Linked DNA regions of Mytilus edulis. The protein of the gene in region 1 interacts with the protein of each later gene in a pairwise test. Links are inferred from orthologs where the notes say so. Each region holds a gene or a part of one and is shown in the gene's direction. Other genes may lie near its edges. The genes, in order: membrane-associated guanylate kinase, WW and PDZ domain-containing protein 1-like; alpha-adducin-like; catenin beta-like.

Region 1 (8,568 bases):
ATGTGGTATGAATGTCAATGAGACAACTCTCCATGATCCAAGTCACAATGTGTCATTGTCATTTGAAATGCCTTGGCGACTAATATTTTAATATCTTACTAGTTGTTTGCCGTTATGAAGATTACTGAGTAAGTTTTTAACCTGCGTTTTTCTCAGAAGCCATGCTGATTGTCCACTAGATTGCTATGTGTGCCTCCCAGGTGTACTACTTACTACTATGTCGTTTTACCAGTTTGCAGCATATATTACAAGTTAGGTAGACAGGCCCTAATGTTCTGGCTTAGTACGAATTATTCACCTTTTAAAAAAAAATTATGAATTCAAGTGACATTTGCCTGTATCAGTCGATCTCCACTGAGTCTAATGCCAGCGATGGTACATCTCCTTAAAAAAAATGTTGAAATAAAAGTGAGATGTTACGGTGAAAATTCAGATGCAAATTGTTTAAGTATGCATGCTTATATTTTATCTGGACCTGGCTCTGTCAGGCTTTTTAATTTAGATCAAGAAAGTTTTTTAAAAGTTTTTCAGATACCATTTTTCTGACATCATATTGATAGTTGTCTAGCAATTTATATTAATAAATGTTTTGAACTGTGGAGAAAGCTATCAATATAGTACAGATATTGCTTTATCAAGTTAACACGTTGAGAATATTTGCCTGTTAATAATTGATTGATTGATTGATTTTTGGAGTTTTAACGGCGCCACTTCAGAGCACCGCATTATATCAGGGTATTCCCCGAATTAACAGAATATGTAATAAATGTTCTTCCAATACTGTCGAAGATGAGGCTCATTTTCTATTTGATTGTAACAAATTTGAGGATGATAGAAATTGTATGTTAGCTAGTATTGCACAATATAATTCTTATTTTAATCATATGAACAGTCAAAGCAAAATTATCTGGTTATTTAGTGTAGAAAATGTTGAGTTACTTAAAATAATATGTAATTTTATATACAAACATCTTCCTTAGTGAAGATTAGTTAAAGGAAATCTATGTGTGTATATACATTTGATTGGACATAGAAAATTATATTCATCTGAATATCACAAACATACTAGCCGATTAAAAAAAAAATAATAATTGTTAAGATATATTATTTATTCAAATGTTCTCTTATATCCTTGAGGCATCGTCCCCTGGTATCAACTGCATTCAAGTTACCTATGATGCTTCCTTGTTTGCTTTTGATACAGGTAGGAAAGAGACATTTACACACATTTTACATGCCTATGGCCCATAAGGTATCGTCCCCTGGTGTCAGCTGCCTTTAGGAAACCATAATGCTTTCCTATTTGCTGCTGACACAGGATGAGTCATGGACATGTTTAATTTCTACTTTCTTTTTGGCTAATTATTATATATTTAATTGATCCAACTTTTTGTGTACTATACATATGTGGATATCTATTTTTCTTTTCTTTTTTTCTTTTTGGGCTGCTTGTTTGTTATCTATATCAACCACACTTGTAATAAAATGCATTAGTATTAAAAAAAACCAACATACTATAGATTCTTTATCTACGTATTCTTTAAGAACTTAAATAGTTCTCGTTTAACTTTTTTTTTTTTTTATCTCATTGTTATTGTATTATGATGTAATTATTGATGTTGTAATGTTTATGCCCTTTGGGGCCCATAATTGGAAATAAAAATATCTTATCTATCTATCTTATCTTATCTTGTTTTAGGCTATTTCGTGGGTGCCAGTTGTTATTGATGGAGGAAGCCGGGGTGCCCGTAAAAAACCCACCGACCTTCGATAGGGAAACTGACAATCCTAGTCAATTCAGATCGGAGTCGAGTGCACCCGCATGAGCGGGGTTCTGAACTCACAACCTCAATTTTGACTGGCTAGTGATTACAGTAGTAACTACTTAGCATATAAGGCACAAAATGTGCACCATAATTTAGTTACCTTGTTTTGTAACCCCCATTGACATAATGGTTACATTGGTTACATTGGATACACTCATGAGGCTTGTTTAGGGGGGGTATCAATATCCCATATCCCATTAAGTTTTTATCCCAATATCCCTTATCCCTATAATGTTTACCCCTAATATCCCAATAAATATTTTTTACAAATATCCCATATCCCTAAAACTATTTTGAAATATCCCAAAAAATCATTATAAATTCATTCCCAAGCCCATTTTTTTCCTCATCATCACAACGTCAACAATTTTGACTGGGAAAACAGTGCATACTTCCAGTGTTAAATAAGAATATATGTGTCCAAAAGATGAAGTGTTCCATCTTAGAGCCTTGTATAACAATATCTTTTTATGTGATCTTAAACGATAAATTTATTGTAAGGGGTCTAATTTCAGACTTTTTTTTTAATTGTTCAAACCGTGATGCATATGACTGTAAAATTTCATTTTGATAGCATTCTTCTTTCATTGATAAGAAACTTCATCCTACACGTTAACCTATGTTGGAAAGAACAGAAGGACTCAACCCTGTCTCTTCAGGGGCGGATCCAGCCATTTTAAAAAGGGGGGGTTCAAATACAATGATTGTCCAAAAAAAAGGGGGGTTCCAACCCCCGGAACCCCCCCCCCCCCCTCTGGATCCGCGCCTGCTCTTGTCCGAGATTGCTCTGACATCCAACGGCTGTTTTGCCAGACAAGCTGAGACTGGGACGTCCGAGCACGTCCATAAAAAAAGTGGATATTAAGCATGCAAGTTCAATAACTCAAAATTTAACACAAGAAAGCTTTCTGCTAATGTACCTACATTACACTTAACTATTTTTACAGCAGGCAAAATTTGCACAGCCCTTGTTTTGCAAAGAAATGACACAACATTTGACTCTGTGATCTTGAACTTTATGAATTACATAGATCCCAATATTTTTGTTACTTTTTTTTAATTTCCTTCCTCACAACACCAGTAATAGAAAGAAAATATATTAATTTACAATGATTATTTAGTAATTATTCGTTATTAACATAGTTTATACGGCGAAATATCTAATTTTTGATATGGGACGTGCTCTGACGTCCCTCGGCCCCAGCTTGTCTGGCAAAACAGCCGTTGCACATCAGAGCAATCTGTGAAACGTGGAGACCTCTGAAGATCCTCGCCACGTAAAAAATAAGAGGTAAAACACTAGAAAATATCCTATAATCATATAAAGCATCAAAACAAATAAAAACATTGACAACAATAAGGCTTAACTCATCAGATGGATACATCTAACAACAAGAGGCTGTCACAACGACAGCAAACCGGATTTATTAACATTTATTTGTGTCCTGGCAATACCACAAGAACCATTACTGATGAATGGTGAAAGTGAAAATCGTTAATATCAAATTTGACCTCCATTTTGTCATCAGTATCAACATATTAAAATTTGAAAAGCTTAGATTGAATGGTTCATGAGTAAATGCAATAAAGTGAATGGAAATGCCATTTTACGATCTTTCAAGAACCATAACTCCTGAACAGTAAAAGTCAAAATCGTCATTATTAAACTTGACCTCTATTTTGTCATCAGTAACAACATATAAAAATTGCAAAAGCTTTGGTTGAATGGTTCATGAGAAAATGCACGGACACGACTGGAAACACCATTTTTCAATCTTTCAAGAACCAGAACTCCTGAACGGTAAAAGTCAAAATCGCCATTATTGAACTTGACCTTCATTTAGTTGTCAGTAACAACATATTAAAATTTGGGAAGCTTTGGTAGAACAGTTCACGCGTAAATGCACGGACAACATTTGATTGCCGCCTGCCCGCCGTACATCCCCAAATCAATAACCGACATTTTTGTCACAAAAATCCGGTTAAAAATCTATGATTATTTCAAGACAATTATCAATGCATATGAGCATATAATATAAAAAAAAGATGTGGTATGATTGCCAATGAGACAACTCTTCACAAGAGACCATGTGACACAGAAATTAACAACTATAAGGTCACCGTACGACCTTCAACAATGAGCAAAGCTCATACCGCATAGTTAGCTATAAAAGGTCCTGAAATGACAAATGTAGAACAATTTAAACGAGAAAACTAACGGCCTAATTTATGTATAAAAAAATGAACAAAAAACAAATAAGTAACACAGCAACAAACGACAACCACTGAATTAAAGACTCCTGACTTTGGACAGACACATACATACAAAATGTGGCGAGGTTAAACATGTTAGCGGGATACCAACCCTCCCCTTAACCTGGGACAGTGGTGTAACAGTTCAACATAAAAACGAACTATACAAATCAGTTGAAAAAGGCTTAACTCATCAGATGGATACAAATAGAAATACATCTAACAAAAACAGAGAGTGGACGTCACAGAGTACTTGTACATCCCATCAACAAAAAGACACCAAGTACAGATCTGAGAGTACTCGCAGTTACTGACAGCCAGTTCAAAGCCAATTACAACTAATAAAAAGTAATGCATCTGAGACTAAATTATCAATCATTACACATCCAGCATCCAATGGCACGGTAAACAACATCTCCGTAAAAATGAGGATGTGCTATCCCGTTTGAAATAAGTTTTCTACAGGTAGAACCAAACTTCAAAACCAAATCTAGAATTTAGTAAAGATTTTAAGTGATTTGTGGTAACGAAATCCCTGACTTAATAATATACCAGTAATACATAGATTTCGTTCATTAAAATCCAAAACATTACAACAGACACGGGCATAGCGGAGGAGTTGTGATATACAAACACCGTAAGATAGTGCCAAAGGAACATCACCATCCAAAAAAGGAAAATTAACAATAAGGAACAAAGTATGGAAAGCAAAACAAATACTTTTAAAATTATCAGTACATATGAGCATATAAATATCGAAAATAGATCAATACTTTTCGCTTGGGTTTGGATTACTTTAACATAAAACGACCATAAATTCACTTAAAATCAACAAAGCACTAAAATTACCTTTAATATTAAACTTTTTTGGGCAATTTCATCAAGTGATATGTATATATTTCTGTACTTAACTTTTAAATTCCACTTATTGTTTTTTCATGTTAAAAATTCAATATCCTTATAAATGCATCAATATCCCATATCCCATTTACTTTTAGGACAAATATCCCATATCCCTAAAATTAAAATGGCAAATATTCCATATCCCAATATACCCTATACAAGCCTCACTCATACAAACTATCATATATCAACATTATTGTAGCTCTTCGTGGGCCCTTTAATTGGAATAAAAATATCTTATCTGATCTTATTAGGGTTAGAGTCTAGTGCCTCTTAAAATTACCCCCCTCTTCCCCCACCTTTGACTAATAGACAATAGGATGTATTTACGTGAAAATGCACAAACCAAATACGCATGCAATGAAATCGGAAATGTATCGAATATTATAATTCCTTTCGTTTTTACGACATTAATTGACAATTAGAACGATTTATGGCGTGTCAACCTTTAGCGCATGCGTATAACGAATGCATCATCGACTGTGTTTGAAAATAGGGCGGAATGTGAATGTTTTTATAAGATAATTTACCATTGTTTTGCATATTTTACATTAGAAACACATGCAAGAGTTCAGAAACATCAATTAACTATACAATGGCATGAACAGGCAAGTGCGGAGATGTCCAGATCGGACGCAATAATAACAAAAACTCCGACAACTTTCCGAGTGGATTGCGTTGGTCAGTGTCCTCAAATGTCATTTTTATGTGTTTTCCATCGGTTAAAATCATCAGATGTTGTTAAATCTCAAACTGCACCAATCACTATCATATAATGTCACACAATAAACAAGATATTGTACGACATCCACCGGTTGCACCCCCTCCTAAGCCCCAAAAGGATCATAATCAACAAAAACATTGGAGTCAAAGAATACAGGAAACGGTTGTTTCAGCTTTACCTGAAGGGGAATTTGGAATACATCTCAAAGGTGGAGCAGATAATGGACAGTTTTGTTATATATCTGAACTTAAATTATCCCAGTTAACTTTCCATAATGGAAAATTATATGTTGATGATATTATTCTTGAAATTCAAGGACAGAAAATTGCTGGATATACTCTGAGAGATGCAACAATATGGTTAAAGCAAGTTGGTCAAAATGGAGCACCCATAATGGTGAAAACTGTAAAAATTGGTGAGTAAAGAGAACATGAAGTTTACACAATCATGTAGGTTACTAGCTGCCAAAATTCATTACTTCCCCACAGAAAATTCACTTATAATTATTCCAATCCATTAGTTTCTTGACAAACAATGATGACAATCATGAATCTTCTAGGCAAAACGATGTGTTTGGGACTCAGGGTATACAATCAGGACACTTCCTAGGGACTCACATGCACAGATTAAAAAAATTAGGTGTCCAGCTCGATTTTCATGCGTCTAGGACGTGTTTTTGTTAATAATCAAACAAGTACATTGTATATATACTCATATGGTCTGGAACAGATAGATACATTGTACATGTACATACATTTTGTATGTAAGTTTTCACTTAACAAGTTTAAATTGGGGGAGTTAGCAGACCTTTGTTATACATTTATTTATATTCATTATGCATGTAATTGAATTAAAGTCAGAGTGTAAGTACCAAATCACTAAACATTAATGGGCCCCAGGGGCGGATCCAACCATTTTAAAAAGGGGGTTCACAACCCAGGATAATGGGGGGGTTCCAACCATATGTCCCCATTCAAATGCATTGATCGGCCAAAAAAAAGGTGGGTTCCAACCCCTGGAACCCTCCCCCTGGATCCGCCACTGGGCCCACCTTTTCACCAAATCTCTCCAGTTAAAAAAAATTTGCCCCACTTTCAAAAAAAACTTCCCACACTGGTTTCCTAACTTGTCCCACTTACGAAAAAGGGTTAATTCCCATTAACTAACTCTTTCCAGCTTGCCCATTTTGCCCAAATTATGAAAATGGGTAAAATCCCAATGAATATAAATATAATAAAGGTCTGCTAACACCCCCAACTTAGATGAAAACTTATCGTTCTTCCCTGCGCCTATATCACCCTGCTCAGTCGCTTCATAATTCTGGTGTCACAGCTTTGAGACAAGATCAGGCATTATCAATGAATGTCTGAGGAGAAGTTATCAGCGACATCACAATGTGAGAGGAGACGTTATCCTCCTTCCCTACGCTTATACATGTATCACCCTGCTCTGTCGCTCCTTAATTCTCGTATCAAAAGGAGACCAGGCATTATCAGCGATGTCCCACTGTGAGAGGAGAAGTTATCAGTGACGTCACAATGTGAGGGGAGACATTATCAAGCTTGCTTTTGTGAAGCTTACAGGGAAAAGACCAGTAATAGAACAATAAAAAGATAATCAGGTTTTCTTCTTATAGATATCGTAAAATATCAGCCGCTCATGAACATACTGTGAAACTTTTTAGCTCGTTCGATGTGCTCACTCGCCAAAAAGGTTCACATTGTGGATCGCGGCTGATATTTTACGATATCAATGTGTAGAAAACCCGATAATCTATACTTTATATCAAGCTTGCTTTTTCATGAAGCGTAAAACTGTCTTAGGGAGGTGGAAAGATCAGAAATAGAACGATACACAGATAATCAGATGTTCTTTAATTTGTTTACAAAATGTAGATACATGTATCATAAAATATCAGATGCTCGACACAATGTGCAGCTTTTTAGCTCATTTGCTGCGCTCACTTGCAAAAAAGTTCACATTGTGGCTTGTGATTGATAATTCACCATATCAATGTGTAGAAAACTTGTTAATCTTTACTCATCTATACAGAATAAAAAAATAGTGGCAGATACTAATAAACATGATAAATAATGAAAATTTGATATATGATTTTGATTGACAACTGAAGTACAAAAAAAATGTATCTTGAATGTACAATGTAATAAATGTAAAAACATTGTGTGCACTTTACCAAAAGTAACATATATACATTTGTACATGTATATATATGCTCAGTTGTACATGTACATGAAGTTGGTGTTCTTATAAAAAAAGTATTACATGTACAGATAATCAGGTCTTTTTTGTATCTGTCTGTCAAATGAATATTCATACCATGAATGCATGTACAAAATGTAACTAGCAATTGTTTAGCTCATTAATTAGTAATTATATAAGTGACTTTAATAAGTCCAGTTTAAACTAAGGTGTAGGTCTACACTGTAGTGAAGTGTCATTATACATGTACAAAATGTACAGCTTCTATCATCATTGATACTTTATAATTTATGTATTATTTATATAAGAATATCTTTATAAAATATTGATGTTAGTTTATACTGCAAGAGTAAAACATTTTTAAAAGATGACAAATCAATATTACCCGAATCCTTGATTGATTACTGATTACCTGTTAATTAATCATCACCTGTAATCACCTTATTTATACACAGAAAAATGATGACTTCACTCAATACTGTGAATTATTATTGTTCAGAAGAAGGAGTGATCTTTTGTTACTAATGAGCATGCATATATATGGCACTAGCAGTGTACATGTACATTATTATGTAACATAGATATAAGAATTAAAGATGTGGTATGAGTGCCAATGAGACAACTTCTCTCCATCCAAGACAC
Region 2 (8,434 bases), on another chromosome or scaffold:
CTTCCTCCCCCGTAATTCTTTATCAAAAATATTTATTTTGAAATGAAAAAGCTAAGAAATCTTAGGTTTTTTTAGTGTTTTCTAGGTTATCTCGTCTTCATTCTCTGACATATTCTAGCTTGCCCTTTCATATAAAATAGTGATTTTTTTAGTGTTTTATCGAATTTTCGAAAAACAAATACCTGATAACCGCTTAGACAAAAAAAAATATTTTGGAAAAATCTTACAGCGTGATTCTTAATAGCTATAGCCTCGGTCACACCTTACCGGATAGCTCGAACGGACGCCTAACGGATAAAAAAAAAGTTATCCGTTGACAAAATTTGTATCTGTTGGGAGTCCGTTGGTGTACTAACGAACATGTAACGAATGCCAAACGGACACACAACGGACACTGAACGTACGTGAAACGGATACGTAACGGACAGAATGGACGTCGAACGTACATCCAACGGACGAGTACCGGATAAAACAGACACCGCTATGGAAGCGTAACGGATAAAACGGATGAACAAAATAATCTGAAAATTAAAGGCAATAAACCATCTAAAAATTAAAGGCAATAAACCATGAGAAATTTCAATTGGCATTTGTCCATTTTACATCCGGTAGTCATCCGTTTTATCCGTTATCCTTCCGTTAATATCCGTTTTATCCGTTAGGCGTCCGGTAGACATCCGTTGGTGAATTGGTCTACCGGATCTCCAACGGATGCATAACGGATACAAAACGGACGAGTACCGTACAAAACGGATGCCTAACGGACGTTCAACGGACATTTTATCCGTTGGACGTCCGTTCAAAGTTTGAACATGCTCAAAATTTTCCACCGGACAGAACGGACGTCAACGGATAAAACGGACGCTTAACGGACATGCAACGGATATGGACGGACGCCTAACGGATAAGAACGGACGTCCAACGGACATGAACGGATTGAGAAAAAGTTATCTGTTAGGCGTCCGTTCGAGCTATCCGGTAAGGTGTGACCAAGGCTAATATAAGATACATTTTTCTTTTACAACCCACCTTTAAAATTTTACGGGAAACTATTCCAAGCTTTCACTGTAACCTCGCTCTAACTTATCCCCCTCCCTCCCCCACCCTCCCCCAAAAAAAACACCAAACAAACAAACCCGCAATACTATTGTCATTCTTATAGTCAACACTCAATTGTTCACAAACAAATGTGTTTTAAGCTGCTAAAGACATGATTCAAACGCTCAGAAAGTCCTTTGTTCTATATTTATGCAAAACCTTTCACATTTTTATTTTATGGGTTATTGTTGAAGGTCGTACGATGACGTATGGTTGTTAACACATACTTCCTTTGGTTTCTTATGGAAATTTGTCCATTGACAACAAACATACCACATCATCTACATTATATTAAGTATTGTATAAATTACAACGTATTTTGGTGATCTTGCAAAATGATCGTAATCCCGAAAATCGTAAACATATTTTCTTATCTTAAAAGGGGGCAAGAAGGGTTCCATTAACAGGCCAATAAATAAGATTACAGTTAATTTCATTTTTTTTTTTTTTTAAATAGGGGTATTTTTTCTCTCATAATAACAGTAAACAGATTCACAACAATGTCAATTTCAAGAAAGCAGACAACAGCTAATTAGTCAACAACAGTACAGCATCAATGCTCTTGAATATATGCCACTTTTAACAAAATATAAAAGCACAGAACCAGGACATAGGAGCACAGCACCAGGACCGTTTTTCTTATCACCAGCACAGCGTCAGGACAATTCCGTTTAACGAACTTGCACGACTTTTGCAATATAATATTGTTGTAATATACTTTGCATGGTACTTATGACACATCAGAGAAAAATTAAGCAACAAAACAGTCGTTTTATTGCCGTTCTGATACAATGTAAACAAACCCACCAGCACAGAATCAGGACCCACCAGCACCCGTCAGGACCAAATCACCAGCACAGTACGTTCTCTCGCAGGACAACCATACCCACCGTGTAAGAAGTCGTTATAAAATCCATTGAATCTAAAACTAGTCCAAATCAGATTTCTTTTATTCGGATATTCTTAGATACATTTCTTTTTTGGCGGAAGTTACCAAAAATTGTTTTAACTTTCTTTCTGACTTTAAAACACTGATTTAAGATTTATGTTGTACGCAAAATATAATACTGAAACATTTTATGTTCAAGCTAAGATGAAAAAAAGGAATGAGAAACCTTTTTTTTTCCTATTCTGAAACTACGATGTTTGTACAAAGTTCAGTTTTGTCGTAATTTCAAGGCAGATGGCGGATTCGGGGGTGGGGACGAACATGTCGTTCACCCTAGGATTGGACAAATTATCGTGTTTTGCCTTAAAATCGTCAATATTGTTTTTAGTCTCGCGACGCTCGGTGATATATTTTTTTTTAATTTGATAGAATAACGCCCCTTTCAAAATCTAGGAACCTCCCCTAAAGGTTAAAATAGATTTGAACTGTGCAGTATATCTGAGGTACACCTTTGCTGTGCATTATCCAGATTATAGCACAGTAAGAACAAAGAGATTTTACCCATACCATGTGTTTTAAAAGTACGATGGTGTCTCACGCTAAAGTGCGACTGTTTTTGTTCGCTAAAGTACGATGGTGTATCACGCTAAAGTGCGATGGTCCAAAGGGTAAGATTCGATGTATTAAAAAATCGAGGTTTAAAAAGTCTTTTTGCAAAAGCTATTATGCTAAGGTATAACATATAGGCTTTACAATTTATCGGTAGGCTGAAGTGATTGTTTCTAAATTAACAAGTCCGACCAATTATTAATTGCTATAAAGGTAATTTATGTTTTGCAAATATTATATTTCAGGTCAAATGAATTTTTAACAATTCGAAGCATATTGAATATTTGGATGTAGCTAATCTGCTTGCCGCGTTCATACTAATGTTACAACCTCCCATACAATCGTCATTGAAAATTACAAATACAAAATTCTTTTATTGTCGGAATATGCGCCATTTATTTGTGACAGCTTTAATTTAAATGCCAGATAATGGCAGTGTTTGCAGAGCTTTCTAGAGCGAGTACGAATACACGTTTTATATTCCTACAATGTACAGTACAAACTAATGTTTTAACAGACATTTTATAATTCACTCATGAATACATGTATTTATATTTTACCGACGTGACTTTTCATTAAAACAACAGCATTTTAACGGGGATCGCAAAGTAAACTGCAACATAAACAATGATTCAAACGTATCCGTACGCTTCAAATAGAAGCAGGATTAGTATGCGTATCATACTCTTTTGTATAATATTTATAGTGTCATAGGGTAATATGGCCACTTGATCTTCGTAAATAGGGCGTTGAATATGTGACGAAATATAATGTTGCAAACCATGTATTTCACACTGAAAGTACATAATTATAATAAACATTTATTTCAAATGTTAACTTGAAATTTCCTTATAAATTGAACTATGAATTGGATAGAAGTACATGCATGATAAGGCCTAAAAGAAAATGTGCTTACCTGAAAGTAGGGAAAAAGTTAGGTGTCCCTTATGTAGCGTGTGTGCTAAAGTGTGTGAAACTCGCATTAGTCCGAGTTCGCCGTATATATAGTGCTAGAAAAAGTGGCGGGGTTGCATGCATAATAACTTCGTGCAGAGTAGTATATAGAGTAAAGTCTTTTTCTAATTGTCCGTCAATGAATGAATGAATGAATTATGAATGAATGTATGAATAAACGTAGTAAATATATAGTACATACAACATATAGTGTAGTACTAGTATATAACTGTACTCTTATAAATAGCTACGGTGTCAATAGCCATACAGTAAAATGGTCGACTGTAATATACAAGTCTTTCTAATCTACCAGCACTAGAACAAATGATGCAAAATTATGCTTTCTGGGTGTTCCGAAGACCCTTTCTTAATCTGAAAATGCAAGTTTTGTTTTAATAATTTTTTGACAATATGTTGGTCTCAAAGCAAAAATAATCAGTGTAAGACTTAAGTTTCTAGGGACAACATCAAAAGACCAATGTGCATGATAAAGCAAAAATGAAATTCACATAATTAAGTCTGTGGCTGCTGTTTTTTTTTAAATTCATGTTCAAGTTCAGAACAAAATTACTAGATTACAAAAGGAATGCAACACTAACAGAATACAGAAGGGCAATCAATGAACAAAAGACAAATAAATAAGAATTATTGATCCCGAAAAAGCAGGGCTACAAATGTAAGTCTGAGGGAAAACAGAACTTGCTTCTTGCAAGGCACTCGCCGTGAACCCAATTTGATATGGAGACAAGAGTTTGGTTTTGAAATTTCCTACATGAGGCATTTGCCTCAATGTAGTTACGGCCCTGTAATAAAATAAAAGTGAGGTAAGGTTTCCTGATACAATATACCTCCAGTTAAATGAAACCAATTTTCAGACATTTCAAGTCTATTTAGATAATATTTATTCCTCTATTATTAAAAAAAATAGGGAAGTGTTTTGGGGGAAAAAAGATGAATTTATGAAGAATCTGGTGCCATCTTTCGATTATACCTGCTGATTTATTTATTTTTAATACATTTCAAGTCAGGTAATTTATTTGCAAACTATCACAGAACAAACCATTTATTTTTGGGATTATCAAGGCTGAGTGACCCCCCCCCCCCCCCCCCATATCAAATGGTCGTCCCCTTATGCCTTTTTTTCTAATATGTGTGTGGATCTGATCTGGCTGTTTACAAATACAAAAATGCTGTTAACAGTTAACAAAGTGGGTTGAAAATCAGTTTACAGCTTAAATTTACCTCAGATAACAGTTAACAAAACCTTGAAAAGGGTCACAACAGGGTATTATTGTCCCCCCCCCCCCCCCCCCCCCCCCCCCCGCCATTATTGTGTCAATTATAAAAAAATCATTGTAATAAATTACTTTGCTATTATTCATGGGCCCTTTAATTGGAATAAAAATATCTTACCTTATCATAGGCTAAATAAAAAAAAAAACCTGAGAAGATTTTTTTTTATTGACCCATATATGGTGTAATTTCCAAATAATAAATCATTTTAAATTTTGCGCCTATTCAAACTTGGAGTATGAATGATTTCCCTTTACAGACAAAAATGTGAGTGATGTCATTATTCAGGTAGCTGGTGCATATTTCCGGTGAATTTCCTCCCTCTTTCTTAAGTATGTTGTTGTGTATACCATAACTTTGAAGCATATCGCATTTGTTTATATTAAAAAATATTTATTTAAAAAAAATATTAGTGTCCCATGCAGTGTATAATTTACAGTCCATGCTTGCTTTTATCAAAACATTCAGAACATTCACTTGAGATAACAACGGGTGTATTCAAAAGATGGAATAGCCAGTGGAACTAATTTTAGAAACAACTCATTTGCATATCGGGGAAAGCCTTGTCTGTGTTCAAAGGGGCCAATATAAAATTGGCGGGGATTGTAGTCTTTCATACGAACGATCAAATAATTTTCGTAGCAGAAACAAAGGTAAGTAATTGAACGTCAATAACCACTTTATGAAAGCACGCCCCTGTTCAACTCATCAAAAGATAATTTGTAATGTCCGACCGGCTTCTGCTGCCGGTGAAGACGGTAACAGCGCTTACTTGTAAACTTGTCCGTCTACTGTCAAATAATGGGCAATACATTTGTGTACACTACAACAGAACTGTTATATGCGAAGATAGTTTCGTTAACATTGTCATTGAAGTTAAAATGTTCAGAAGCTACGGGAAAAAAATCAAATTATATGTTTTCTGTCGCCATATTTTGCAACTGTCAAGGTCGGATGTTATCAAATGCAACATCAAAACATCAGAAAGTTCTGACAAAGTATTCATATCTTATCAAATGTATTTATTCCTAATTAAAGGGCGCATTCATAGGGCATATGAATCTATACAAATCACAAATGTTATCCATGCAAAATTGCATACTGATTCAGTAGATTGTTTTAATTTTAAATGATTTAGTATTCAAGCAAATTTATAGGAATATATATTATATATTGTCATTTACTCACACACTATGACAGCCAATACTCTTGTTGCACTTAAAATGATAGTGCAATTTCCATTATTACCATTAGCAGTACTTAAATTTTAATTTTATGAAAGAACAACATGTACAAAATGTGATCACTACAGTACAGTATAAAAAGGTAAACTGATAAAAAAAAGAGAAGAAATTAGAGGCTTTCCTAAAAAATAAATCATATTCAACAGTACATTCTGTGCACACCCTGTTCTAACCTAGGAAATTCACAAAATTATAGATAGATGCAGTAGATTAACCATTTATACCTCATTTGAACATTCCTTATTCATTTTTTTTACAATGACTTCATTAAAAAAGCAAATCTTAGACTGATGTCATATATTGTAATCATCGAGATTAATGAAAATATGACATCTGAAATTTACAAATGTATAAATAGTGTTTCCTGAAGCTTTTGAAAATGGCAGATAAAGTTCTTCTCAGAATGCACTCTTTGCGCAATTGGATACATTTTAAGGGTACATTTTGCGCAATTGGATACATTGTAAGGGTACATTTTGCGCAGAGGATTACATTTGTACACTTTTAAGAGCACTCTCTACAAAGATATAAAGGCACAGTAATGGTAAGGATTTAATTGAATATACCATTGTTTTATACTTGCTTATTACATGTAATACTTTTCCGTTTTTAATTTAAATCCATTATAGTAATAAAATTATCATTTCTAGACTTACATGAAGCTAAAAATTACGGTAAGGCGTTTTAAAATATGACGGAAAAGGGGCATGGAGCCAATTTTTATTTTCGTTAAAAGGTCAGCCTCAGGGTGTCGTAGCAAGCCAAAACCTCCTCCAGGAAACATGAATGAAAATGCATGAAATTTGTGAGTTCTGCACCCAAAAAATTTAAATGTTTAATTTTTGTTGCCACAATACTTTTATTCAAACATTAAGTGATTAACTTTATGCAGGTATTGCAATTGCTTACTTTCTCTGTTAAATTTCTTCATTTATCAAAACTAAAAACAGGATATTTAGTGCTTGCAAGTTTTTCTATTGAAGCTAAAATAAAATCAAGTAGATTTTTCCTTCACCTGACTCGAAGGTACTTGGCATAATTTGTGTTGCCAAAACCTGATGTCTGTATTGAGAGGCATACATGTGATGGTTGCTGGGAAATTTATGTGCATAGTTGAGTTGTTTGGGTGTAGGATATGGCACCCAACATCACACGCTGAACCAGACTCGTCTTTTAGTTTTCACTTATGCAGTACCCAGCCCCTTATTCTTTTGCACCATATGCATAAATTTGGTCCTTGCAAGTATCTCAGTATTTTGACAAGGAAAGGATATGTCTGACACATATGCGGTTTCACATAGACAGTTTCTCACTGTCTGTCTCCATATTGGTAGACATGGAACTTCCCAAATTATTTCTGTACAGCTTCCTCTTGCAGCTTAACACATGCTCACCAGATCAAAAGGAGTCTGACAGAATTCATTTTTCTGTCATTGAAAAATATATGATTGTAACACTTTTTCATTTCTCAATTATGTAAATTTAAAAAAAAAGTATTTAGATTTTTTTTCTCTAAACTACTTGTACATGTATACATTTTTGTGGACAATTTATAGTAATTCATTGGCATTGAATGTACTGTACTGTATGCTTATCAGTAGTAGTTGTCAATTTGAAGCAGAAAAAGGCCAAATATCAACTGATCAACTTCAGATTTTGATAAAAAATTCAATAATGGTTCATCACTATATATTTTTTTGTACATTTTAAATACCCAATTTCCACCCCAAGAAAATTGAAATGGCAAAACAATTTTTAGCAGGGAAATGAATCAAACATACAATGTACATACATTCATATATTGTTTTAGGTCAGTATGATACAGCATATATCTTTCATCATGGAGACATTTTTCTTTTGAGATGGAATTGATAAGGCAGTATTTTCTATTAAATCAACATGTTGAAATTCTTTTTGTTCTTATTCTACTGATCATGACCAGTACATTAATATGTTGTGATCTCTATTGGGGGTAGTAAGAAGTTCTGTTCTCTTATCAGACAGATAGTGTTTAGTCTATTAATTATATATGTTACTACATTTATCATCTTGTTACTAATTTCATATTGATTTAATTATTAAAGTTATCAACTTGATTATTTGAACTGGTGATGACATGTAACATTTCAAAACATGCCACTAATTCTTATCTGTTCAAAATTTCTCTGAGATTATGATATAGAGGATATGCTGTTTAAATGTTCCTTACCTATAGTATCATTATATATATAAGTTCATATTCATGTACCCAGTATATATGCATGTTACAAAAACATGCATGTACATAGTACATTATAGTATATATATATACATGTATATAGCTTCAATGGACATATAGTGATTTTTA
Region 3 (8,497 bases), on another chromosome or scaffold:
CATATCTTTATAAATTCATAACTTTTAGTTCACTCGCATGTGACCTCAAAGCCGGTTTCGTTAGATCTCCCACGCGACATATCAGAAACAGGAGCGATGAGAGATCGGTTTTTAATTAGATTGACGTTATCCCAATTACAATTATACAATATACAAACAAAGCAAGCTAGCTAACAAAAGTCTTACTTTACCAGCATTTGGAAATTATCTATCAAGTGGTCTTTAAGGAATAAATGAGATGAGGGACCCCAATCTAGACCCTCGTGAGAATCGCCTTACCCGTCACATATTTACAAGCTCACCTGTCACATATTTACAAGCTTACCCGTCACATATTTACAAGCTTACCCGTCACATGTTTACACGCAGCTTCAAGTCCAACTCCTGGTCCAAACCCGACCTCTAAAACATTGTGGTGTGGTTCAATCTGACACAGTTTTACAGCACTTTCTTCTAAAATCACATTTCGTCTCAAAAAGATATTCTGAATTTAAAATTTAAAAACAAAATTGTTGATGTGATTGGTGTCAAGATGTTAATAAGTTTCAAAATTTTCTTTTCATAACCTGATGGAAGATTTAAGATGTGAACAATACATCTGATAAAAATTAAGCAACCTATATTATTTTTCTCGTTTGAATTGGTTTACATTGTCATTTCTGGGCCTTTTATGGCTGACTATGCAGTATGGGGTTTGCTCATTGTTGAAGGCCGTACGGTGACCTATAGTTGTTAATGTATGTGTCATCTATGGGTTGGTGGTAAATAACCATATTCTAGGAACAATAAATATGATTTCCGTATTATCTCTGCTTTATTAAAATTGTAAACGTATGCATGGTGGTTCTGTGAAAGTTTCAGCCTTTAATTAAAAGGAATTGTGTTTATCTATAGCGTGCAATCATAAGAAAATAAGAAATACCACACCTCTTGATGTGCTTAGTACATAATGCAGTAATTTTGGACATGTCCAAAACGCACGGCTTCCGTTACGTTTTAAATTCAGTTTGGATATTATGTCTGAATTCGAGGTTTTACCATACATGCAAAAATGTAAAAAAATCATTTAAATACAGTAAAATGGGTATAATTATTCATAAAACTTCGAAGCGTGATAGCATCCTTGTTAATACAGGAAGCAGTTACAAAGCAATAGACCACTTTCGAGTTCATCCGTCACCGGAAAAAACTCGTCAATTATACGCGCCTTTATCACCGTCATTTTTGCGTTTAGGGGCGTCGTCACTTCCTTCCAATGTTGAGCGAGTGGTTGGAAAACTATAATTCTATATTGTACGAATTATTCGGCAAATTGAATTCTCAAAATTGACAATCAACACTGCTGTCATTAGGGAATTGTCAGTAAGTACCTACAGAGCAACCATTATTTCTAGGTTATCCTGCACAAAGACGATCACTAAGACGCTTGATGAACGTAAATAGTGCAGGGATACAGGCGAGCCCCTCTATCTGGTAAGTGACGTCATAAAGGCGTGCATAATTGACGAGTTTTTGCCGGTGACGGATGAACTCGAAAGTGGTCTATTCGATTCATTTCATATTGAAGTACTGTCAATTTGTATTGCAGCATTCTGATGTACTATAGTATATATTAAGACAAATATTTACCTTCGTAACATACCAACCAAAGAAGCCACTTCCAGGTTTCCGCAGATTCTGTGCTAAATATTCTCTAAAGATATTAGTCATCCTCCTGAATATATGAAAGTATATAGATAGATATAAGAAGATGTGGTATGAATGCCAATGAGACAACTCTCCATCCAAGTCAAGATTTGTGAAAGTAAACCATTATAGGTCAAAGTACGACCTTCAACACGGAGCCTTTGCTCACACAGAAGAGCTCAGCAAGCTATTTAGGGTCCCAAATATTACCAGTGTAAATCCATTCAAACGGGAAAATTAATGGTCTAATTTATATTAAAAACGAGAAACGTGAAACAGTTATATATGAACCACATCCAGGGGCGGATCCAGCCATTTTAAAAAGTGGGGGTTCCCAACCCAGGACAAAGGGGGGGGGGGGGGGGGGGGGGGGTCCAACTATATGTTCCCATTCAAATGCATTGATCGACCAAAGAAAAGGGGGGTTCCAACCCCCGGACCCCCCCCCCCCTGGATCCGCCAATGACATCAACAAACTAAAACTACTGCACATCAGATTCTTGAACATAGTTATCAGAATAAAAATAAAGAAATTTGTTGAGGTTTTCAAAGGGATTAAAATTTGCCAATGTGCACAAGTACAATGTGCTTATCAAGGGTTTGAGGTATGTAGGGGGGGTTCTGAGACAAGTGCCTGTGTTTGAGGAAAGGGAGGCGCAATTTTCCGAAAAAGTTATTACCAAGGGTAAGCCGTTTACACCCCCTGAATCCTCCACTGATGTCATAATACCATTATCGTCAGCAAATAAAATGTACAAAAACAGTGCCTACTAGTTATCATGAGTAATGAAATAACAGTACTGTAACTGAAGAGTTCTCGCCGTCAATTAGCAATTTGATGGTAGCAAATGCAATTGGACTGCATTTTGATTTTCTGTAGAGGAAGTAGGGATTTTAAAAATGATTGGATTGGCCTGGTCACACTAGAAAAACATAATTTTGATGATGTAACTAGATGCTCTTAAGAGCCTGTGTAGCTCGCCTGTCACGTGCATCTTCAACAATGGATATTCTACAAAACTGTACACGAACAAAGTTAATGATTGAACTCTCTTTTTTAAGGGGAAAAAGGGGGATATCGTGTTGGTGATCATTATTTTTCTGTTTACACTATCTCCCTTTCTTCTGTAGTCCCCCTCCCCAAACACAAAACAAATGGTAAAAAAAAATGTCCTTTATAGGCAACAACTTTTATGACTGACACTTCTTTCTTAATGCGGATCTTGTATTGCTTGTCAGCTTAGTATTTTAATGTTTCGAAGCATCTATTATAATGCGAAAGTAATAGAATGAAATTCAAAACAGCGTGGCTGTGGCCATTGATTGACACATTAAATTCATCCATTGACCGGGACAATTTACGTGAACGTTTGTATGTAACGACCACTGTTCACGACGTACCTACGATAGACTTTTAAACTGTGGGGTCACCAAAGGTTTCTTAACGCCTTTAATTATAAAATAATTCGAAAAATTAATCAGGAATAACCTTTATGTTTTGATTTATATAATTGATATAAATCAAAACATCGTGTTATTTCTGATTAATTTTTCGAATTACTTAATTAAGGCGTTGAGAACCTTTGGTGACCCCATAGTTTAAGTGTCTTTAAAAAGTACATAGTCAGTGGCGGATCCAGAAATTTTCATATGTGGGGGCCCACTGACTGACCTAAGAGGGGGCCCGCTCCAGTCACGCTTCAGTGATTCCCTATATAAGCAACCAAATTTTTCCCAAAAAGGGGGGGCCCGGGCCCCCCCTAAATCCGCCTCTGATAGTGAGCAGTGGTCGTTACATACAAACGTTCACCTAAATTGTCCCAGTCAATGGATGAATTTAATGTGTCAATCAATGGCCACAGCCACACTGTTTTGAATTTCATTCTATATAACGCCAAAAACTGTTATTGAAAGTCATCATTGTCAAGAGCAATAACTACAATAAGGAATCGACTGCATGACAATTTCATCCATTTGGCATGTTCGACACATTTGAAGTATCTTTTTCGTGTTGATTATTTCTGCTATTAAAAGCGTCTAGTATTTATCTACTATAGTTTTTATGATATAAACTGGCAATCGCACATAAACATTGATAAAATTAATTTCGGGGGAGCAAGATTTTGATGGTCAAGGGCATTACTACCCTTATGAAAGTTCATTATTCAGAATATGAATAAAATTTCTATCAAACCATCGTAACCGACATATATTTTTTTCTTTTATTGGAGGAAAAGGAACGACAAGGATTATGTTTTTTTTCCTGAAAAATATTCTGATCCCCCAATTGGATGAAAAAAAATTCTGGTCAAGCAGATAACAAAAAAAATATTCTGAATGCAGATTTCCCCTATACCTAAAATATACAGTCATTGTGTTGAATTTTGGAGAGAAAAAAATTACCCAGAAAATAACATATACCTCCTCCTTTTTAACTCTTTTAGAAGTTAAATGGTTGTTCCCTCACAAGACAACATAACTTTATTGATTCACATTCTGTGCATTTTCAAAATATTTTGACTTTGCACCCGACTATTTTTATATAATAAAACAAATCAAGGATTTGTACAAATCCCGAAGTTGAACAAATCAATAATCATGCTGTATAAAAACCAAACTAATTTTACTCGAGGGTCAAACAAAATACAAAAAAAACCCAATAATTCTATTTTTTTTAATTTTTTTTATTGTTATGGGTGTTATTTTATTTTATTGTAACAGTAATATGTGTTCAATTGTAACAAACCGTGATGCATGAGGAAAACATGGAAAGAGTATTTCTAAACAATGCGGATGAATTCGACTGTTAACCTTTTATTTAATATTGCAGTCATATCTAGTATTTCCTTATTGTAAAAATCATGAGAATAATAAAATAAAATATTTTTCATGTATATTAATTCAATTTTTAAAGAGAAAGACAAATATTACATGACCATAGAACTATTTTTTAATGTATAATTTGGCCTACAGGTAAATAGGTCAAGTAACAGGTGCTTGTTTAAGAGCGCATGCGTGACAGATTAAATTGAATCGCCATCTTGGAATTTGAATGATTCAGTTCTGCTGTAATGTGAAGTTAATTTCAAGCATTCAAAGATTGTGTTTGTAAACTGAGTATTTCGAAAGCCACCTTTGGTTCAAGGCGGCAGTTATTTTCGGTAGGTACTAAGTAAAGGTATACAACAGGCCAATATTCCCTTTGTGACCTATATTTTCTCGAACCAAGTTATTCTCCTTTGTTGACGGTTGGGTGTTCAAATACAACGGCTTACTCTCTGCAATACAATAAATAATACCGGTAGTTGCATAGTTGCACAAACTTGGGGTCGATGGAAAATACCCGTAGTAACCACAATATAAGGTTTGCTACTTGCATGAAAATAATTTCAAAAAGGGGGAAGTGACAAGTGGACGAAAATTTATGATACATGCGAAGTATGACGCATGAAATTACCGGCGTCAGAAATTTTATAGCTGGTGCTTTATGGTCAAACCTTTGGTCCTGTTCAACTAAAAATCGTGACTAGAACAAGGTTTTTAGAGCATGGCAGGTACAAGTCTAAATAATGATGAATGAAGTCTTGATAGGCTATTTTATGTTTTTGCTTTTGCCCTGGCTTTGACTATCTTGTTAAATAAAGTTTAAATTTTCTTTTGAATTTCAACTGAAAGAATGAGCGTTGTGAAGTTGCAGGAAGGCGTCAAAGCAAAAAATAAAATTGTTTTTAATAAATTTATTTGGACTAGGCTGGTTACCAGGTACTAACTATAGTCACCGTCAGCTGAAATTCGTAGCGGTTATCGGTAAAAATAATCTAAACTATCAATCGCGTTCACTCGAGATATAGTTTTTCACATTCCATTCATAAATCGCAAAAAGAAAAACCACTCTCGATCGATGTTCAATGATCATTTTATTTCTAAAAATATGACAGTTTGAAACGAATTTACCTTGCAAGCAACATTTTTCACTTTCAATTAAAATAAATCACTTCTCGTTATCTTTAATCAAAGTTTATTTTAATTTTTTCAACTACAAATACTCTCATTCATAATTTTCATCGTAAATATCTTTAGCAATGTGTATTCAATTCCCAGTGATTTTCCAACCCTCATTTTGGGGCCGAATTTCGGCCCCATTCCCAAAGAGAAATATGCTCTTTTTTTCCCAATTTTCAGCTCTAAAATTCCCAATCGTATATGGACATCGTCGCGAGATTTTGTTATTGTCGTATCTCCGTATCATGTACTATTTTGTTGACAAATCTCTGAGCGTTCGGGGTATTTCGGGAGTTATCATTATCGTTCACTTAAGACTATGATTGGTTTGCAATCTTTTTTGGATTGCATTGCATTGCAATCTACGATATTCTGGTCACGTTTGCGCTTGAAACATCCGAATGAATAATTCAATGACAAAGCAAAAAAATGAGACATAATGTAAACAAAATGAACGTAGATCATGTCTCATAATTCCAAATATTACACAAAGAAGCTAAAGGCGGCGGACGGTAGTAAATGCTGGAAGCTGAAAGCTTTTGGATTCAAAAAGTCGTTTCTACTTCCTTCTGATGAAACAAGTGAAAGAAGGAAAAGACCGACTCTCAGATACAGAACTGGAACAACTAGTTGACATGTTTAAAAATAAACATGAAGGAAAACTTGGAATTTTAAATAAAACTAAAAAATAAATGCTTCAGATTTCAAATGTGTCTTTTTAGAATTTCTATAGATTCTCATCATTATAAATAGAATCAGAAGGGATAGGTTGAATTTTACCTTTCAAGAGTAAAGTTACAAAGCTTGAGTGCATGCAAATGTGTCCTCAGACACATTCAACTTTTATTTTTAATCCTTTTCCTTAAAAAGATAGCTTATTTTGTACGCAATTCATGCAGTTAATCCTTCTCAGAATGCAGGATTTTGCACCTAATTTTCAAAATTTTCCAAACCCCCCTAGCGAGGCGCACACGGCTTACGCCGTGTGCCCGCCCTCGTAAAGACCATTCATATTTTTCCCAAACCATAATTTTTTTCCCAATTGCATGGGCCCCAGGACCCTTCCCCTAAACACCAGGAAAATCACTGATTCCATCACGTGTATTGAACAGGTTCATTGGTCGTGTTTAAATAGATTCTTCTTTAGACCAATGAAAAAATTCGTTATATAAATAGTCAAGTAATCACACACACGATGCCTAACTTAAATAGAATGTATTTGCGATCTATTTCTTCAATTTCTGCACTGAAGTTTTTAATTTTTTTAATTTTTTCTAAAAATATCTATCTTCTTGATGATCATTTACGCTATTACATGATAACATAGTCCGATAAGGCTGAGATAAGCGTGGCTCAGGTAAAACTATATTATCAGATATTGCGTAACACTGAGTGACCTCTCAGCTGTGATCAGCATGTCAGCAACTTGACAATTTTAACAAATTTATAATGAAAATGTGAAAATTAACACGCTGCGGGATCAAGTAGTGAGGGACAGCAGCCAATTCAGACGCTGCGGGATTAACGAAAATATTATGAAGGCGCTGCGGTACCCCAGCATCATATCGGCCTGAGGAGAACACTGAGTTAATATGAATGTTTTGATATATCGTAACAGTTTCAGACAGGTATTGATTTCAAAGAATATAAAGCTGACTATTTTGTCGATAAAACTAGATATATGTAGCTGACATGATTTCAATTAAAGTAAGGTCACCAATTTCCTGGTATCAAATAATTTGATAAACCCAACAATGAAATGCCATATGACCTTTTACATTGAAGGGTTAAATTTGCATTAAGTCATGTTCAGACCCTTTAACAGAAAATAAAGGAATATGGAGAGAACGTGCACGGGGCCTGATCGCACTCAAAGTCGATGAAAAAAATACAAATTATCAATCCAAGTGGTCAAAGTTTTTATTTCTTTTCTTCATTTTGATAGTTGCTGGAGGGTCTTCAACAATAAAAGAATCATTAATACTGTTAAAACAAGGTCAAGATGGTCCCTAGTGTCAACTTAAGCAGTACAAGTACTGAAGGTATAATACTGCATTTATTTTTTTTTTATATTTTAATCTAGCCATAAAAAAAAATCACCCAAGTCTTAGCACAAGACAAGATAGACAGACAGATCCTGTATTTATGATTATGAGAATTACAATTTTTGCTTTATCCTACATATCAGTCTTTTAATGTTGTCCCTAAAATCTACAAGTCTTAAATTACAATGAATCAATGTTTTTGTTTTGAGACCAGAATATCATCGAAAAAATAGCTAAAAATTAATTATGTTTCAATTTAAGAAAGAGCCTAGGAAACGCTCAGAATGCACGATTTTGCGTTATTTCCTCAGAGCTTTCCCTTGAGCAACCCCCAGACCCCTCGCCAAAATTTTTTTGCCTCACTGCGCTCTGCGAATATATTTTACCTCACTATTAAAAGAGGCTAGTTAGGCCCTGTCCTCAAAGTTCTTTTGTTGGACCATACTCTTTCATGTATGAATTTAATTCCTTATTTGGAAGGAGAATGAACTAGTTCTTTTGATTATAATACTATACTTAAGCGGTAGTTTTATTACCAGAATATAATGTGAAACAAATATTAAAGCAAATTGGCATGAAAATGAGATTTTCTCTAATAAAATATTTTTCAACCTAAACCCGTATGATGGCTTATCTGCCATTTCAGTGTACACAAATGTACATTGTTGGTCATGTCTGGCAAATATAATCATTTCCAGACCCTTTGGCTGTATACAGTTACTGTACACTGTTACTATACAGACACATGTCATGTTTGTGTTTTT

The links.
Region 2: the proteins of membrane-associated guanylate kinase, WW and PDZ domain-containing protein 1-like (region 1) and alpha-adducin-like interact in a two-hybrid assay, tested with the Caenorhabditis elegans proteins (2 studies listed by BioGRID). The link is inferred for Mytilus edulis from reciprocal best matches to the Caenorhabditis elegans genes magi-1 and add-1.
Region 3: the proteins of membrane-associated guanylate kinase, WW and PDZ domain-containing protein 1-like (region 1) and catenin beta-like interact in a two-hybrid assay, tested with the Caenorhabditis elegans proteins (2 studies listed by BioGRID, with this or other methods). The link is inferred for Mytilus edulis from reciprocal best matches to the Caenorhabditis elegans genes magi-1 and hmp-2.

What each region holds. Positions count from the first base shown.
Region 1 is NC_092344.1:29,414,519-29,423,086, reverse strand, and holds the start of membrane-associated guanylate kinase, WW and PDZ domain-containing protein 1-like, read left to right. Parts: upstream 1-5,432; 5' UTR 5,433-5,757; coding exon 5,758-6,121; intron 6,122-8,568.
Region 2 is NC_092347.1:57,417,407-57,425,840, forward strand, and holds the start of alpha-adducin-like, read left to right. Parts: upstream 1-5,164; 5' UTR 5,165-5,496; intron 5,497-8,434. UniProt on the Caenorhabditis elegans protein: Membrane-cytoskeleton-associated protein that promotes the assembly of the spectrin-actin network. Plays a role in time-dependent memmory loss and the retention of conditioned behavior over time.
Region 3 is NC_092357.1:59,222,710-59,231,206, reverse strand, and holds the start of catenin beta-like, read left to right. Parts: upstream 1-4,638; 5' UTR 4,639-4,847; intron 4,848-8,497. Other genes in the region: uncharacterized methyltransferase YdaC-like, read right to left, coding at 349-484, 1,630-1,710. UniProt on the Caenorhabditis elegans protein: Required for cell migration during body enclosure and cell shape changes during body elongation. Plays a role in recruitment of the cadherin protein hmr-1 to adherens junctions.